Schizosaccharomyces pombe: one gene and its partners. Changing the gene in region 2 together with the main gene of any one other region gives a genetic interaction. Each region holds a gene or a part of one and is shown on either strand. Other genes may lie near its edges.

The links. Genes that interact genetically often act in the same process or in processes that back each other up.
Region 1: of puc1 (region 2) and cdc13, extra expression of one is lethal in a mutant of the other (dosage lethality), as found in Schizosaccharomyces pombe (one study listed by BioGRID).
Region 3: of puc1 (region 2) and crs1, changing one enhances a phenotype caused by changing the other (phenotypic enhancement), as found in Schizosaccharomyces pombe (one study listed by BioGRID).

What each region holds. Positions count from the first base shown.
Region 1 is NC_003423.3:418,217-425,204, forward strand, and holds cdc13 (G2/M B-type cyclin Cdc13), read left to right. Parts: upstream 1-1,894; 5' UTR 1,895-2,092; exon of another isoform or gene 2,093-2,219; intron 2,220-2,445; 5' UTR 2,446-2,906; coding exon 2,907-4,355; 3' UTR 4,356-5,052; downstream 5,053-6,988. Other genes in the region: exocyst complex subunit Exo70, read left to right, coding at 1-1,003, 1,057-1,093, 1,195-1,260; protein dsh1, read right to left, coding at 5,053-5,382, 5,453-5,522, 5,566-5,655, 5,696-6,157, 6,208-6,476, 6,531-6,656, 6,705-6,944.
Region 2 is NC_003423.3:3,697,320-3,704,821, forward strand, and holds puc1 (G1 cyclin Puc1), read right to left. Parts: upstream 4,371-7,502; 5' UTR 3,334-4,370; coding exon 2,254-3,333; 3' UTR 1,879-2,253; downstream 1-1,878. Other genes in the region: DNA-binding transcription factor Thi5, read right to left, coding at 1-375; SPOM_SPBP8B7.31 (acid phosphatase), read left to right, coding at 1,014-1,095, 1,154-1,405, 1,481-1,600, 1,654-1,718; U3 snoRNP protein Utp4, read right to left, coding at 6,423-7,502.
Region 3 is NC_003423.3:3,450,395-3,455,396, reverse strand, and holds crs1 (cyclin Crs1), read left to right. Parts: upstream 1-1,880; 5' UTR 1,881-1,990; coding exon 1,991-2,278; intron 2,279-2,319; coding exon 2,320-2,479; intron 2,480-2,519; coding exon 2,520-2,575; intron 2,576-2,627; coding exon 2,628-2,808; exon of another isoform or gene 2,809-2,856; coding exon 2,857-3,074; downstream 3,075-5,002. Other genes in the region: myr1 (N-myristoyltransferase 1), read right to left, coding at 1-173; protein mug110, read left to right, coding at 862-936, 980-1,651; ade9 (trifunctional formate-tetrahydrofolate ligase/methenyltetrahydrofolate cyclohydrolase/methylenetetrahydrofolate dehydrogenase), read right to left, coding at 3,245-5,002. UniProt on the Schizosaccharomyces pombe protein: Has a role in meiotic chromosome segregation.

The DNA.
Region 1 (6,988 bases), 3.3 Mb from region 2:
TTTCGATCAATTTAGTTGCTTTATCTAGACTATTACCAGCCGTTGCCTCGGAATTGCTACTCTTGTTTGATCAAGTTACTGCTAAGGCACTTTATCCCAAAATCGTTAAGCCTGCCATAAACACTGTCACCAATGCCACCAGACAGCTTGAGGGAGTTTATGAAAAAAGAGGTGCTGCAGAAAATTTTGTTTTGTTGTCTTTAATTGATTGTATCGTTGTTACACGCCAAAACATGAATAATCTTATGCCTTTTGAAGATGCTTCTTTCCTTGGTTTTGTGAATGGTGTTGGTCGTGAAATGGAAAAGATATTGATTTCTTCTATATCGAGGCTGTATAATGGCACTTGCCATAACAACAAAACAGTCCCTCTCACAACTGATAGAGTCAGTGAAATGACTCATGGTATTATGAGTTTCTTGAATGAACTTGCTGAGCATGAAAATGCCTCTTATTTGCTTGAAAGTATTGGTAATTGGGGCTGGAGACACGAAATTAATGCTGATCTCAGTCCTGCGCGCTCAGTTCAAGACATTACGAGGAACTATGTTATGGATTGTATGGATTCCTACCTAACTTCTGTTCAAACAGCTGCCCAGGCAGTGGATACGATTGGATGGAAAATGGGCGTAATGCTTTTAAACATCAGCGTCTATTTTGAAGCAAAATGTCTTGAGTCAAAAATTGCATCATTTTTACAAGACGTTGATTTAGAAAAGCTAGGAGATCGATCACAAAAGTACTCAACCATGTATATGGAAGTTTGGCGACAGTGTTCTCAAAATATGCTCGATTCTACCTATACAAAATCTCAAAACAAATCCACTATGTCTGCTAAAGAACGAGAGATTACAAAGGAAAAATTCCGAAACTTCAACGAACAAGTTACATCTGTTGTTCAAGTGCATCGTGAATCTGTTAGGTTTGAAACTGGTGTTGCCACTTTTCTATTGCAAGAAGTTAAGAAAACTGTACTACCTTTATATCAAAGGTTCTATGATAAGTATGAAGATCAATTAAAAACTGTTAGTTCCACTATAGCTAACCTCTGTTTAGATACATCAACAGTGATTTTACAAAAAATAAAGACAAGGTATGTGTATTGAGGATTTGTCGATATTCATTTGCTAGTTTATCGATGTGTATATACATTTAAGTTGTTATCGTTTTTCATTTTGCTTACTCATTACGTAGTATATCAAATTTACAAAGGCTGATTTAGATTCTTTTATTACAAGCGCGTTTGCTCCTTCCCTATGATTCAATATGATGAATTTGGGTCCTTTGAAATTCCATAATATAGTACTAAAGTGGGTGTACTGGCATTCTCACTTTTCTTTGAAGCATTTGACTGATGTAAATAAAGACGGACCATATCTCAAATTCAAAAATTTGACTTCTATTTTACATTATTAAATCGTTCCATATAATTTTTTTAATTATTAACTCCCCTTTTTTGATGACTTTGTTGTTTACCCTGCTCAGATTCTGCTTACGAGTAAGCTACCCACTAAATATTGTAATTATTAAAGAAAACTTGAAGAACTAATTTTTAATTGCATTTCCCAAGCAATCATGTTTCGATTATATACGTTCTTTACTTTATATAATGTGCCCAGCATAATTTCATAGACAATAACATTATTACCTCTTTTTTACAATAGTGAGGTAGCTCATATACATTAAATTGTGGTTCCATATCTCCGTTTTCTTATTTTTACGAAACTCGTGTTTGTTTTTGTTTAATATTTATATTATTGTTTACATTGAAAATTACCATATTATTTGATGTTTGTATTTGTTTCCCAGCTTGCCAACGTTGCGTTACCCCGACAACCCCATAGTGTTTACGCCCTCTACGATACTCCTTTCAGTCGACTCCACTACCACGAGCTGTCCTTAACCAGCATCTTGACGAGTTTTTACCCTTAAACGACATTCCTGCTCATAGAAATATAAGCAAGAACAGGACTTTTCCCCTATTAGTCACTGTCTAGAGCTAGAGGCGAGAAAAGAAGCGGAACCTGGTCGGTTAAGCAAAGCTTGTTCTTTCGTCTTGTCTTCTTGCTTGTAACAAGAGCTTAATCAGATTGTAAGTAATGTTAAAGGCTGGGAATACAGTTTTGGTTGTGTAAGAACATTTTCATACAATACGACCTTCTGAAGATGTGAAAATTTCTTCCCAATCAATAGTCACCCTTTTTCCTCGACTTCACCTAGTTCAGCGAAAACATGAAATCCTCTTTAAGTCTAACTTCATTTCTTTTTATTTTTTTATTTTTTTAAAATTTATGAAGGGATTAAGGGGTGGGTGCTGTAAAACATGGGGGTTTAAATTTAAATAACTACCCATTTTATTTTCCTATCAAAGTTTCTTTTTTTCATAGGATAATCCTTTATTGTGCCATTTTGTTTTTTCATTAGATTTACTAACGTCATTTAAAGTCAACATTTACCCTTCTTTTCTTGTTCTGGTGTTAATATAGGAAAATCGTACATCGATTCTACATATAGCTTCATTTCAAAGTTCAGTTTCGTGTTCTACGTTTCCTATATCCATTGTTGGACTTCATCGCAATCCCCTTACTTTATTGAAAAAAAGAAGTCTCAAAAGCTCTTGCCAAATTCTAGATTCGGTCAAAGGCTATTATTTTCTCCTTTATACGTACGAGAAACATACATTTTTGCTTGGATTTTATCCTTAAAATTTTTGTATAAACTTTCAAGTATAACTCATTCTATTTTATCTTCTCCGTCCCGTACTACCCCTTCACGTTTTTAGACACTTTAAAAAGGTTGTTCGTTCAAAACCTCTTTTTTATCATTTCTGTTACCTGAACCAATTAATATTTTAATTTCCCTTCCTCTCTTTCAATCCCCGACAGAATTCGTTTCTTCTTTTCCTCATGACTACCCGTCGTTTAACTCGCCAGCACCTATTGGCAAATACCTTGGGCAACAATGACGAAAATCATCCTTCAAACCATATTGCCCGTGCAAAAAGCTCTTTGCACTCTTCAGAAAATTCTTTAGTAAATGGCAAGAAAGCCACTGTGTCTTCCACCAACGTTCCTAAGAAGCGTCATGCGTTGGATGATGTTTCCAATTTTCACAACAAAGAAGGTGTTCCATTAGCTAGTAAAAACACAAATGTCAGACACACTACTGCTTCTGTCAGTACCCGTCGTGCTCTCGAGGAAAAGTCTATAATCCCTGCAACAGATGATGAACCCGCTTCCAAGAAGCGTCGCCAACCTTCTGTTTTTAATTCATCAGTCCCCTCGTTACCTCAACACTTGTCAACGAAATCACACTCTGTTTCAACCCATGGGGTTGATGCTTTCCATAAGGATCAAGCAACTATTCCAAAAAAATTAAAGAAAGATGTTGATGAACGCGTTGTTTCGAAAGATATTCCCAAACTTCACCGTGATAGTGTTGAGAGTCCCGAATCTCAAGATTGGGATGACTTGGATGCAGAAGATTGGGCTGACCCTCTTATGGTTTCTGAATATGTCGTTGATATTTTTGAATATTTGAATGAGTTGGAAATTGAAACTATGCCCTCTCCTACTTATATGGATCGTCAAAAAGAGCTTGCATGGAAGATGCGTGGAATACTTACCGATTGGTTAATTGAAGTGCATTCTCGTTTCCGACTGCTTCCTGAAACATTGTTTTTGGCCGTAAATATTATTGATAGATTTTTATCATTGCGGGTATGCTCTCTTAACAAACTACAATTGGTTGGCATTGCTGCCTTGTTCATCGCTAGCAAGTATGAGGAGGTGATGTGCCCTTCAGTCCAAAACTTTGTATATATGGCGGATGGTGGGTATGATGAAGAGGAAATTCTTCAAGCCGAGCGCTACATTTTGCGTGTCCTAGAGTTTAATCTTGCTTACCCGAATCCTATGAATTTCCTACGTCGTATCTCAAAAGCCGACTTTTACGATATTCAAACAAGAACTGTTGCAAAGTATCTTGTTGAAATTGGTCTTTTAGATCATAAACTTTTACCTTATCCCCCTTCCCAACAGTGTGCTGCCGCTATGTACCTTGCCAGGGAAATGCTTGGACGTGGACCGTGGAATCGTAATCTTGTGCATTACTCAGGTTATGAGGAGTACCAATTAATTTCCGTTGTTAAGAAGATGATTAATTATTTACAAAAGCCTGTTCAACATGAAGCTTTTTTCAAGAAGTATGCCTCCAAAAAGTTTATGAAAGCTAGTCTTTTTGTTCGTGACTGGATCAAGAAGAATTCTATCCCTCTTGGCGATGACGCTGATGAAGATTATACTTTTCACAAGCAAAAACGTATACAACATGACATGAAAGATGAAGAATGGTAATTTAGTGTATTGTGCATATCACTATCTCAACCTCTTTCAATTGTGAATATTCCAACTTGTTCAAGCGCTCTTTATATGTGTATTAGTTTATCACTAATAGCAACCGTAATGTCCTGTAAACGAGTCGCCGATAATTCCTAATGCTTTTGTTTTTGTTTTGTTCTATTATTATATGCTCGGGTACTTGAAGATTGCCAGATGCATAGTACATGCTGGTGTCATTATGAAACCAAAATCATTTGGAGAAGTGTAATTATGGATGCCTTTAAATTATCCCACCTTTAAGTCTTAGATTTGATTATCTGTCGCATATGTGTTTTGATCTATGTGGCTAGTAACGTTATAACAATTGTGTTTCTGCTAATGATGCTGCTTTAAACAACTACGAGTATTGTGCTATTATTTCTTTTTTACAATTAGGACCTTACGATAACAAAATAGTACTATATTTTCTGGATGTTGAGCTACTTGCCGATTGGGAATCCCATATCCTACACCATGAGTCGGAGTAATATTAATAATAATAATGATAATGATAGTTCCTTGAGGTGAATACTACTTTATTATGTTCATAGCTTGCAGAACGTATATTGCTCATAATAAAAATGAAAACAAATAACATCTAACTCTCGATAGACAACTTAAACCAAAACATTAAATGTGTTTCTTTAAAAATAATATCGTGATCCTTTTTTTATTAATCAATAGTAGATCGATTTACAGCCATAACAATGGATTGTGCCGTTTCGATAAAATGTTCAATGCCCATAGGGAAAAATTCCGATATCAGTGGTTTATAAGATGGAGCTTGCCATTGCTGTTTATGTTGATTATCAGCTAATAGATAATCCCATTTTGGATCCCAAAACGAGAGTCCATAACGAAGAACCGAAGTGTCAGAACCAACTTGGTAACATTGGAGACCAGGTTCGAAGTCTGTATCTATATCTTTAACTTTGCCCATATCGTGTGCTTCAAACCGAGTTATATGCAAATGAAAACCGGAAGATAAATGCCAATATTTATGCTAAAATTAGTTAACTACTTACTCAAAAATTGTAAAAACCAACAGTAATGCCTAAATGAACTTCATTTACCTTCAATTTGACAACTAGACTCCGAACTTTTATGTCTCTGGTATTCATAAAATAGATTCTTCCATCATCACTTTATGGTCAGCTTATAATTTTCTTTTAATAGTCAGCCTTACGACATAGAAATATTTGATATGAACTCTTTGTAAAAAGTTGAGTTTTGGGTTGGATGTCCATACTCAATGTAAAGGTTCCATGAAAGCGTACTGCAAGAGTGTTAGAAAAGAAATGAGTAAAAACACGTACTTCAAGTTGTAATAGGTAACGTCCAAGGCTTTGTACATAGTACTTTCAAGATACCACCCGCTAGGTTTGCCTGAATTAGTATTCCATATTGCAGTCAATGTATCTTGAACACCTTTGCAATTCATCACTTCAAAATGTACGGCTGTGATAGGATCATCTGAAAAAGACTCAAAGAGTTTTTCGCCTGTGGGACTACGGAGCTCTTTTAAAACATGGCAAACTTTTACGGAAACTTCGTCAGAGAATAAATACCTCAAAAACGTTGACCGTGTTTGGGGCTCCAAAAAACTTTGTGCAATGTTCACGGAGTTATTTTTCACCTTATTAGTACCAACTTTGAGTCGTTCAAATAGAGGTATACCAACTTTAACTCGCATAAAAACTGTACCTGAGAATAAAAAAACATTAAATAAAGATGCTGAAACGAAATTTTTTAAAAGATTGAAACTCCTTTCACGAATCCTATAGTTATGTCAATAAATATACCAGCCTTTTTAAAAAAAAACACATACAAGTTAATTTTAACACTATCGACAGGAGTCGGTATCGATTCGGGTAGGCGATGCAGATAAATAGAATTTGGCTTGTATTTCTTCGCTAATGGGAAGTTTCGATCATAAAACAGTTCATAAGAGGTTGAGTAGTCGTCAAAATTCATTAGATGCAGTATTGGCTGAGTCCTTTCTAATCTAATTAAAGAGACCTGCTCGTAAAAAATGTGTTTGACTCGCTTCAAAGCAACCTTTAAGTTTTTTACACTGTCGCATCGAACATAAAAGGCCTGAAAGAATGAAATGTAAGCATCCTGTAAAAAGAAATTACTTAAAATACATACAGCTAACTTGGGCAGATAGTGGATATAACATTGGCAATCCACACGGACTTGATTGAATAAAGTAAGATTTTCTCCACCGAAAAATTCGTAAACGTCCAAATCATCTGAAGGTAATGTGAATAAACCCTAATAATCGTCAAGTTATTATAAATGAGCTCAATATGTAAATATTACCTCTGCACGAAATGACAAAGAAGGATCCACATTGAGTAAATATTTTTTTAAAATCAAAGCATCGCGTTTCTTCTTTCTTACTAAAGCAGCTTCTTGACTTGGAAAATCTTTTCGGGGATTTCTGTACCATTTGGAAGCTGCCTTTGTCTCGCCTTCACGAGTATGGGAGTTGTAAAGTGTTTGCAGTGCCTTGGTAGCCAAGTCAAACATTTGTGGGGTTTCATAATATATGAAAATAGCCTGTAGTAATATATGCTAATTAGAAATGCAATCAATGAATGGAT
Region 2 (7,502 bases):
AACGTCGCTTCCAGAAGCTAATGAAGATTCGACATGTTTGCATAGTTTGACTAAACTACGTGTGTCATGAGGAAGAGAAGGACACAGCAATTCCATCAGATATTCGAAGCATTTCTGCCTTTGACTCAGTTCCGCAATAAATTGTTTTGAGGGAGTACGCTCTTTTAAAGAATCAGCATACTTACATTGCGAAGGCGTAGCAATGCAAGCCTGACATGGTTCAGAACCACTGCATCGAATTTTCTTGGCCCGACAAGACAGACATGCCCGCCTTACTCTTCTTCTACTGTCCAAAGGAACACGCCTTCTTTGTTTATACTCTTCCTCTTTGGCTTCTAAAAACAAAGAACGACTAGAAAAGTCAGAGGGACACATAAACTTCGCATAATAACAATTGCTACATTTAAGATTTTCATATAGGTAAATCAATTTCGCTGTCGGTCACAGGTACCCGAAGGTGGTAAGTAGCAATGCTACTTCAATTTTAAATAGTATGCATCAGCAAAATTAAATTTGCTAGTAAGCTCTGTCAAGTCCCCAGGTTAATATAAATGTATTAAATGCAGTAAAAAAATTTATTGTTTAAATGAATATGTTAATGACAACGATTAATTGACTGTAATTTGGTAGTATACAGTTTTGATCAATTTTATAAAACATGGTATTTACACAGTGTTTTTTGGTATCAGTTTATTTGTTTATTGAGAATATCAAAGACAGTTAAATTAAATAATAATAATTCATAAAAGTTAATGAAATTCAAACATTTGTTTCCTAAGTTTTTTTCATTACTAATGCAAAAAAAGTTGAATATATATATTTTTCTTTAAAAAAAATTGGATTACATCAACGTACCAACTAAAATTGTGTCAATCTTATCGAACTAGCAAACTGGCAGTAAACTTCTTGAAAGCGTTACGGTCAATCTTTTGAACTTGAAATCACTCTTAAAAAGACTTTCATTCTTGTTGTTTACGAACCTAATAACCAATACCATAAAATATCAAGCAAATATGGTAAAAAATATCGAATTCCCAAAATGCGTTGTTTTTGACTTAGACTACACTCTGTGGCCTCTTTGGATAGATACCCATGGTATTAAATCTTTTACTTTGATCTACTTTATGTTTTATTTTCTAACAAAGTTTCACAGTCACTGCACCATTTAAGCCTTCCAAAAATGACCCAGGCGTTTTGATTGACAAATATGGCACAGAGATTTGTTTTTACTCAGATATAACTGGAATTTTACAAGAGCTAAGGAACCAAAAAGTTACTTTGTGCGTTGCTAGCCGTACTTGTGCTCCCAAGTATGCGAAACAAGCATTGAATTTGATGAAGGTACCAATAGATGGAAGTCTTAAGCCGGCTATCGAATTTTTCACTTATGTAAAAGCTTGGCCAGGTATGTCTTTTAATACATTTTTGTCAATACAGAAAATATCAATAATCATATTGCTAACTAGTTATTGTGAAATAGGTAGTAAAATGGATCACTTCAAAGAGATCCACAACGAATCTGGAATTGACTATCGAGAAATGGTGTTTTTTGATGATGAGTCTAGGAACAGAGAGGTTGAAAGACTTGGTGTTACATTCTGTTTAGTTCCTGATGGCCTTAATCGTGCGTCCTTTGAGCAAGGTATAAACAAGTGGAGAAAATTAAAAAAAACTCACTAAATATTCTTTCATTTCTAAAAAATCATATGCATGGTTAATTTTTCTTTTGAAAGAAAAGTTAATCAATTTTGCTTGCATCTTAAGAAAACAACTATCGTGCTTTAACTTATATTTAGAAGTCTCTATTCGAATTGAGATGTATTTTGTTTAATCACAGTATCATTGTTAAAATTGGGAAACACTGATACTACTTTTAATGGGTGAAGAATCAAATTTAGAAATTAAATCTATTAAAGACCTAAATTGCTTCAATCTGTAATATGGGGTTTCTTATGAACTTTCTCTTTTCTTTTTGCAAACTAAGTAAGTATCATATAAATAAATAACAAAAATATATACAAACGGTATAATGTCATATGAGCATAGTTGCAAACCGGTTTAGGAAAACAAAGAACATAACAGAGTAGTTTAATTGATTAATATAATGAATTTTATAAAAATTCTTAAAAAAAATTACATCACTATACACTTACTTTTCTCAAGTAAATATATAATTTTGAAATTATATCTCCATTACATGTTTGTCTAGAAGCATTGCAATATATATAAATCGAAGAAGAAGCAATGTTAAAGTTACAAAGTACGCTCAGTATCCTTTTCAGTCATGTTGCACCAGGCAGCCATTGCGCATTGTTCCGGATATTTCTTTGCTAAAATACTAGAAATACGGCCTAGTGAGGAAAACAGTAAATCAGTACATTCCTCATTAGCATACCTCTTTGACATGTTTTCCATATATGATGTTACGGTATCCAAGTCTTCAGGCCACAAAAAGTTATCATCTTTGCGATAGGATTCCATAGAAGGGTGTGTCAAAAGAAACGATCCGACATGTTCGTTTACGATGTTCATAACTGAACATGCGATTTTGGAAGCGGGAAATTTGAATAAATTAGGTACAAACATTGATGCATCAAGTACTAAGAAAAAAATCGGGTCTAAAACAGGAATATACGAAGCTGGTGTAGGGATTGAGATATCCCAATCAAGAGTATCAAGTATGTGGCGTTCCATACGAATAAATAAATCCTCAGCATAGATGTTTTTACAAGCTAACTTCAGTTCTTGCAATAATGGAACACGGTCTTCTGTTTCATGAAATTTACTGGCAATCCAAAGACAAACACATGCTACTAACTGAATGTGTTTGCAGTATACCACTCTCCTCGAGACATATGAATCCATGAGGGAAATACTAAGCGGAAGAGTATCAATAGACAAGTCGAATCCATTATGTATTTCTACAATAAAATTAACGAGTGCAGGTCGCATTGACCATCTGAGTTCCGGTTGCTGATTAGAAAGATGGACATTCAGCAAAAAATTTTTCTCTCTAGTAATCAGATGATGGATAATGTCTTCCTGGTACTCACCTAAATACCCGTTCATTGATAAACCAGTGAGTAAAGAGGATTGAGTGTTATAAAGTAAGGCGCTAGATTCCGCTGACAATGTGCTAACAGAGTCGACAACAAATGCAGTCTCATTTTTAAGAGAGGGAGATTTGGAATTAACGCCTTTTGGTGAAACAGCTAAAGAGCAAGGGCCCACTGATAGAGAATATGAACAGGCAGCTAATATTTTAGGTTCTATACTTGAAGATGAAGTGGGAGTATGAGCAGTAAGTTGTTCCTCATTGGAAGAAACTAACATACTGGGTAGACAGGTATTTGAAAATAATGAGAAGGAAAGAGTAGAAAAGCTCTTCACAGTCGATGAAGTTGCAGCTCAAAGTTCAGTGAATTATTAAAAAAATGATACTGAAGAAAAAATAATTGGACATAAACAGGCTCAGATTGCTTGTTAAGAGGTAGTGGTCAAAGCGAATAGTGTTTAACTAACTGAAAGCGATACAACGGCGGAAAATTAAGGGACGATTTAAAAAGGAAGAAAAAAAAAGAGTGAGGTGACGATTAAAAAAAAGGGAAAAATTACTGGGTTTTCAAGGACGCTAAAGAGATATCAATAATGGAAGGGGTAATATAAAGGAATCGAAAGAGTAAATTGCAAAGGACTTGTAAAAAGCCAAGACGAAAGAACCCAATAATATATAGTGAAAAAAGGCTATATAAATATTAAAAGAATGCAAAATGAAGCGGAAGAAATTAGATGCGATAAATATATGTTTCCAAAAAGGTTCGGTGAATAGTTATTTAGTTTGATTAACGGATTTCAGAAGCAGACAATGCATTCATACTAATGAAAATATTACAAAGAAACACAAGGTTAATTCCAAAAAGAAAAAAAAAATAAAAAAAAATAAAAGGAAGAGAAAGATATTTAGTAAAATATGTCCATATGCAGCAAAAATAAGGAAATAAATTTCAATTAAACCAAACGATGTATTGCAAAAGAAAAACAAAATTTGGTTACGCTGTTCAAACTTTCGAATTCATTTACAGTGCAGTCAATTTAATTTACCGCAACCTTGATAGGACAGAAATTATAAAAGAACACCAAAAGCTGGAGAAAAGTAAGTGGTACAGACTCTTTTAAAGAAAACAATTCAGTTCCGTCAGCTACTATTTTATAAAAAATGATAAACGGATACGACTAAGAGATCGAATTTGTGAACGATTCGTACCAAGCAATAAATAAAGTTGTCGCTTGTATACCAAAAGCAATTATGGTGTGGTAAGAAAAGAGAATGTAACAAAAAACAAGGCGGAACTGGTAAAGAGATAAATTATGGAAGGTTATAAACGGTGGGCAATCGATATCTTTATAAGGATAAATCTTATAGTGTAGTGACAATATCGCGAATCGGTATCCTTACATTGTGAATGTACAATGTCCATTCTAACTCGTAATTTCTGCAACGTAACTAGCTACTGTTAGTAACAACAACCGGAATTTTCGGATTTGAATTAATTAAGCCTCAAGTGATCTCCATCTTGGTATGGCCGATTCACAAATTTACCATACCAACGATGTGTACTGAAAGCGTAAAGTACTAACACACAATTAATTCAATGGGTCAAGCACATCATGTAAGTGACGACGTAGCCCAAAACTATTCCATTCATAGCACGCCATCTATCAAAGAACTTGAACAAAGAAACTAGTACAAAATTTTGATTTTCAAAAGCGGTTAATTGATAAGTTACTTGCTGTAAATCATATTGGCCAAATCGTGAAATGTACGTACTGCTAACATTGCGCACGCAAGTAAGAAAAAGTGGGGACAAGAAGCAGAGGTAAATCAATTATTCAAGAATGTAAATATTGACCCGTTCGATCATCTACAGCTTTTTTTTTATGAAAATCACGTTATTAACAAAATGGCTGGTGCAATCCAGCTATAACTACAGCTAGATAGATTAACATTAATAATATCGATTTTCTTCACAATAGCATATACCGCAATCTTTATTTTACATAGCAGAAGGAAATAAGCAGCCCAATTACTGTGTGTAAATGTTTATCACTTAGTATATGGATTAAACAAATTGTAAATAATAGTCAAGACTTAAGTCAGTTAATTTCCGATGAAATAATTAATTTTTGAGGAGAATGTGGGGAATGAACATGAATAACTAGCATGGATAAATAGATTCGCAATCAGTGACATAACGATATTTATGAGCCGTCTAGTTTCACAGATAATTCCACCTGGTGGTGCGGATAAAAGTAGGATAGAAAATAACAGAACCAAAACGTTGAAAAACGCATTGCTTGGCTTAAAGGTCATAACATTATTCTATTCAATGGAAAAAAATGTTTGGTAGTTGAACGAGATTGCTTCTCAACGCAATGTTTTATTTTCACTACGAAATGTTCTCATGCTTCTAATCTATGACTTCTACTTTACATGCTGTTGATTCAGGTGGTGTTTTTGTACCAAAGTGGGGGGTCTAAGTCGTTAGTACTATTGTCCTTCTTCTGGTTAGTACTGACAGTTTGTATTACATTTTAAGTGGGATCGTAGTAACTAAATGGGGGTACATAAAACTGGTACTACTAAACAGATTTATCTAAGTTGTGAACAAATTTCAATAAACAAACGAATGTATAATCTCATCGGCAAGAAAATAATTTTTTACGTCAATCACTTATTTCACTTCTTTATTTTATTTTGAATATATCAAATGTAATCAAGTTTAGAAACGTAGACGGGTTCATGTATGAGCTTTCTTCGTTTCATTTGCATATATATCCTTTGTAAGATTCTGTTACTTTGAATATGTTTTCTTTATAAGTTGTAGATGGTAATTGCTACTCTTTAAATACAAGCTGTCTTCTACAATAATTTTAATTTTACCAGAGTATTTTTAATTATCCTCATGCGAGTAATTTTCTAATTATGTGGTGTAACAAAAATAGCGTTCGGTTAAATTTTAGTTCGCCGTGTTAAGTCTATTAATCAAAAAATTTGGGTTCGTAAAATTGTACGCCTATCTGCCTAGAATCAAGTGAAACCATATTACAGGCATAATGCTCCAATCGATAATGGGAATAAACAACTCAGACTTTGGAAATTCACAGCTACATTGCCATAATCATATTGTGGATGGGTGTGTCACCTTGAAATGTTTTATTGATAAACTAACTAGCAACTAATCTATGCTTTTTATCGGAAAAAATAAAAATAAAATAAACTCCTATAATAAAAGACCTTTTTGTACAAAATCATAATAATACCACCCTATTCCAGACATTTTTTTTACGTAAAATGACATATTAAAACCTCTTCGTTTTTTTTAGTACGAAGAAACTCCTCCATCTTCATACATAATACATATTTACGAGCCAAATTTGTGCTCATAAAAGCTTGCTGGCATTGATTTACTCATCAACATATCGGCGATTGGTCGTTCGACTACCAGCAATTCAGAGTTTCCTACAGAGCCTACAAGTAGCATTGGTCGATATTTGTGAGTAATCCAGAAACACCTAGAATCCCCTGTTCCATAATTTGAAATGCCGTTCGAATTAGCATTCGCCAATTTTTTGTCATTCAGATTCCCGTCAACTGTTGCATTCATTTCAATTTTACGTTTTCCGGCAGCGCGAGGCGCTGGTAATTGAAGATTAAGATCGAAAAATGAAACCCAGTTGGCTGACCAAATCCAGAATCGACTCGGATGTTTAGAGTCGAAAAATGCTCCGAATGCCTTATCTAGAAGTTGCGAAAATTCTTTGGGCATATTTGTAGAATTGTTTTTTGACCATTCAGATAATTTACGGGATTGAACATCAAACTCATAAACTTGATTTCCCGCCGTAGCAACAGCTAAACGGCCTCGTACATCTGGACGAAAAGCCATTGCACGAACATAAGTGTTAACTCGTGGTAACTCTGAATATGTTAAATTTGACAAGGAGTAGCAGAAAATATTTCCAACTGTGTCCGCAACAGCAAAATAATCTCCATCCGAAGATACCGCTATACTGCAAATACCATCACACATGCTGCTTACATTGCTTCGCTGACGAGGAGCAATTTTCTTGCTAGTGGGTTGTGATAACTCGAAAACTTCTAGCTGACGAGAATCCAGTCGACTTAATTCAATGAGAAATATCTCGGAATCGTTACTAACAAGGATAAGCTTGTTCTTATCTACAGTAAAACTAAGCAGGCTAGCACCAATATTTGAAAGGAAGGAGTCCTCAACTGTTTCAACTTTCACATTTTCATCGCTATACTGTAATTGATAAAGCTTCGTCCTCAAAACGGAAGAAATTGCAATTAATTCCCCATCAGGAGAAATTGCTGCATGTGAAATATTTTCTTCGTCAGCCAACACAATTTTTAATAAAAACCTATAGCCAGGAGACCCAATTCTCCAGAGAAGTACTTCATGATCATTCCATAACATAAA
Region 3 (5,002 bases), 250 kb from region 2:
GGCTGGGTTTTCCAAAATTTGAAATCTTCGTAAGTCTTTGGGGGAGCTGCAGCTTCTTCTTTTTCTATCAAAGATCTCAACGCCAATCGGTCTAGCAGTTCACGAATTCCTCCTTCAGAAAATGAGCTGTCTTGCTGTGAATTTTTTGTATTTTTATTATTTTCGTTGTCCATCGTAAATAATCCAAAAATATTAAAAATAAAGCAAAGTTGGCCGTAAAGTCAAGTTTGGTTCTAGCTTGGATATTTCCAGATGGACTAGGTCTACTAACGACAAAACGTCGGCTGCATAATAGAAGCGTTTCTCGCCAATGAACCTTCAAAATTTAATTTTACTACTTAATAAAGAGGAATAAAATAAAAAAAATAACTATACGTGAGAAACGCTTCAGCATATTGTTGTCTCCTTAGCGAACCAAATTTGATGATAAAAAAAATTAGTTAAAGTCCTTTATTAATTTTATCTTTAAGGGGAGATGGATTACTTAATGAGTAGCAGACGTTTGCGCTTGAAGCTGCTGCATTAATAGAAAACTCAAAATACAAATCATTACATAAGATTCCATGATCGTTTAAAAAATGAACAATAGATGAAATAGTAAACCTATTTATTTTGTCTCCATATTTTTATACTCGATAAAATGTATGAGTTGAACTTGGCACTTTTTTCGAGCGTTTGTTTGTTTACATGATCTTGGTATTTGCATTATTCGCATGAAGTCGAATCTCATCCTTTAACCATTTGTAACTGGAGTGGGATCCGAAGGAAAATCAATCTTTCTCTCTTTTTTTTGGAGCTTTGCTTGTTATTTCATTAACAAGTTTATGCTAAGCTTGGCTGAGTGCTTTGAATTAGGATCAAATGGTTGAATCGTCTGATGAAAATGATCAAGCTTCTAGCTTTGCTAGCACAGAAGACCTAAAAGAACTACGGTTTGTAAGTTAATTAAATTGTTGAAATTTAAAGGTTAACATTTTAGGTATTTTGGTTTTCTGTTTTAATCCCTATTTTCTTTATTGCCTTGATCATTATAAAAAGATATCATAGTTGTACTTACCAAAAGAACAGACTGCTAAGATCCATTTTCTGCTGCATGTCTATTGATGATGAGGAAGAGTTGGAAACAGATATGTACGATCTTCCAATAGTCGAGCCTTCTATCACTTTACCAAAATATTCTGCGAGCCTTCAAGAAAATGAACGGCTAGTTGGAATTGAAGGTGAGAGAGAAGGAATTGATGTTGTCTTGAATTTTTCTAAAGCTGGCGAAGGCGGTGTAAATCCATATCCATCCTTTGATACGCCTAACGCCAGAATACTTCAGCTTCGTCAGTTGGCGAAACTTAAAAAGCATGGACCTCGCATATCTTATCATGGAATAGGTATTGGTCGATGCAATGGGAATCGTGTCTTACCGCCATATCCAGAACCTGCTTTACTTCCTGAAGCTCCCAATACTCGTGAAGCATCTAACAACACTTACTTATACGGGTTTTCTAACAACTTTATAAATATCTCTCGAACTCTTAATCTTCGTTATCCTTCTGCCTCAGCGAGCATCTCAGATTCATTACCTCCACCCTATCAAGTGTTGTCTGTTCCATCCGTTACATCTACACATGCTTTTTCTAACAATGCAAATCAAACCTGAGTATCTCCTTACTTCACCGGTTCAGGAATGCCATAGTTATTATTTATGCTAGCAGTGTTTTCTCTTCTCTGGAATTTATAGCAATTCTAATACTAATTATTGTTATACTTCTATTTCATGTTTATATAAGTATATGCTATAAGCATTTATATGGCATTAGACTGTTTAATTCTACTATGCATGATTGATATCCAAAAGCATTTTCGCGTAAACGTACCAAAATGACCTTAACCACAACACATACCCAGATACGGCTAGACTTAGAAAATCACTATTGAATTTCTTAATTCAAACAAACATCCTTATTCTAATAATCATTTAAATTATAAAATTTATGAAATGCTTACATCTAAACACGAATTTAGCTTATTCTTAAACACTCCCGCTATTAACAGCAAATCCGAGAAAGAGGTTATTTCTGAAGGGCCGTTAACAACTTCTAATGAAATAGATGTTACATTTTCTGAGTCTTTCTCTAGTCATTTAATAAATCTTAGACGCGTCCCATCCGTTAATTCGATCATTGAGCAAGAGAAGAAAGGACTCACAAAAATATCCCCTTCTATTCTGAATCAAAACATTGCTTATAAGGAAAAGCGTCAGCAACTTTTTTCTGTACTTTATGAAGTGCGTCAGCATTGCTATTTTTCGAGATTCTAACGAAACAGGAAACTGTCGGCTACGTATCTATGGACACGTTGTGCATTGCAATTTCTCTGTTGGATCGTTGTTTCACCGTTAAACCAACTATTCCAACTACCAGTTTTAAAATTTATGCTATCGGCTGTCTGTTCATTGCATTTAAACTTACAAGTGACTACTCAGTTGGTATGTTCGCGATAAAAACTGTTATTAATTTCTTTTGTAGCGAAGAAGTCTTTTTGCGAGAATTTGGCTCCAAGTTTGTCTACAAAAAACTTAGAGGTTTGTAGTGATTTACAGCTCGTTGAAACATGTTTCTTTAACAAATTAATAGAAATACGAGAAAATTGTTCTTGCTTTATTAAACTTCGATATATATGTCATTTCTCTTCCTTCTGTTGAGTCTTTTTTAACACCGTTGATCTTCCAACATGTATTCTTTAAATCCTTGCCTTCTGAAAGCTGTGATCAAATGATGGTTGAATGGCAGTATTTACTGGTTGAGGTAATGAAGGGTTAGTAGATTGATAATATATTAATGGATAGCACGCTAATCTGAACAGATTGTCAATTTATCGAATATAGGCCGACGGAAATTTTATGCGCTTCGTTCTGGGTCTTGCTTGAAATTATTTGGCCTTCTGCGTTTGATTTCAAACCTTTTCAACATTTGTGTTCTTTGCCCACAAATGGTTCTGCAGATGAAACTTATATTAAACACTCAAATCGGTTTCACGATTTGATTATATCTATCCAGCGTATAGCGGATATGTTAGCATAAAGCTTCAAACCCATCTATTAACCCAAATTCTAATGAACTTAATTATTAAAACTAAGCTATTTAATCAAAACTCTAAACCCTTTTTAATAACGCCCATAAACCTAATTAACTAAAACAATAATAAATTACCAATGAATAGCCAACATTTTCTTTATTTCCTCTTAGTAGATTTATGACAGCCCAACAATTTCTCCATTTTCACATATATCAATGTTTAAATAGGCAGGCGCAGTCGGTAAACCAGGAATTGTTTGGATTTCAGCAGCTAGCGGATAAATGAAGCCAGCGCCAGCATTCAAACGCATATCTCTAATAGGAACTGTAAAATTTTTTGGAACATTGCGAAATTCGGGATTATGCGAAAGAGAATATTGGGTTTTCGCCATGCAAATTGGTAAGTTACCGAACCCTTGTTTGATAAACGTATTTATTCGTTCCTTAGCTAGAGAACTAAATTCAACACCGTTTGCTCCATACATTTCTTTTGCAATCACATTTACTTTATCTTCAATTGAAGTCTCGCTATCATACAAAAGCCTAAACTTCGAATTGGATGACTGATCACAAGCCGTCATTACGGACTTGGCCAATTCAATAGCTCCTTTGCCGCCTTGGGCCCAATGATCCGAAGGTACAGCATCCACAGCTCCAGCTTGTAGCGCTGCCTCGCGTATTATTTCATGCTCCTTAGAACTATCAGTCTTATAACTGTTGATGGCGACAACAACAGGAATATTGAATTTATGACAATTTTGAATGTGTTTTACCATGTTGGAACATCCATTCTTTACAAGGTCTAGATTTTCAACAAGATATTCCTCAGGAATTGGGGCACCAGGTTTTAACTTGGGACCGCCTCCATGTAACTTAAGCGCTTTAACAGTGGTAACCAAAACAACGGTGTTAGGTACAAGTTTTGAGTATCTACATTTGATGTTAAAGAATTTTTCCATTCCCATGTCAGACGCAAATCCTGCTTCGGTAACGACATAGCCGGCATCTTCGGGTCTGTCAAAGCTTTCTGTACCAGCCAATTTTAAAGCAATTTTATCAGCGATAATAGAAGACGCGCCAATGCTAATGTTTGCAAAAGGTCCTGCGTGAACAAACGCTGGTGTTCCTTCCAAAGTTTGCATCAAGTTAGGTTTGATAGCGTCTTTAAGCAAAACGGTCAATGCTCCAGAAACTCCAAGGTCGCCAGCAGTAATAGCATTTCCGTATTTGTCGTTGGCTATAACCATACGGGATAAACGAGAATGCATGTCGTTTAAATCACATGAAAGAGCCAGAATTGACATGCATTCACTGGCCACAGAGATATCGAAAGAAGTTTTACGGACATGTCCCTTTTCAGTTGATGCTTTTCCAACCTCAATAGAACGGAGGAATCGATCATTGACGTCCAATACTCTGTTGCATTCGATGGTGTCAGGATCTACGTTTAGCCGCACAAACTCTTTCAGTAATTCCGGTGATGCGTTATTAACATCTTCTGGATCCATGTTATGAGATGCGCAAATACGATTCCACCTACCGATCAATCCTCGTGGAATGACTCTTCGCCCGTTTTTAACAGGGATCAAACGTTTTATAAGGGCAGCATCAGATTGTGTGTTTTCATGAAACATCCTAGTTTCAAGAGCCGCGACTAAAAGATTATTTGCTGCGGTAACAGCGTGTATATCTCCAGTCATATGAAGGTTAAAGTCATCCATAGGAATAAATTGTGCGTAGCCTCCACCAGCGGCGCCTCCTTTAACACCAAATGTCGGCCCTTGGGACGGCTGACGGACACAAGCAATTCCAAGCTTACCCAAATGGCCCATAGCTTGAACCAAACCAGCAACAACTGTACTTTTACCTTCGCCAAAAGGTGTAGGAGTAATACCACTTACAACAACATAGTTCCCATCTTTTCGGTGCTTTAA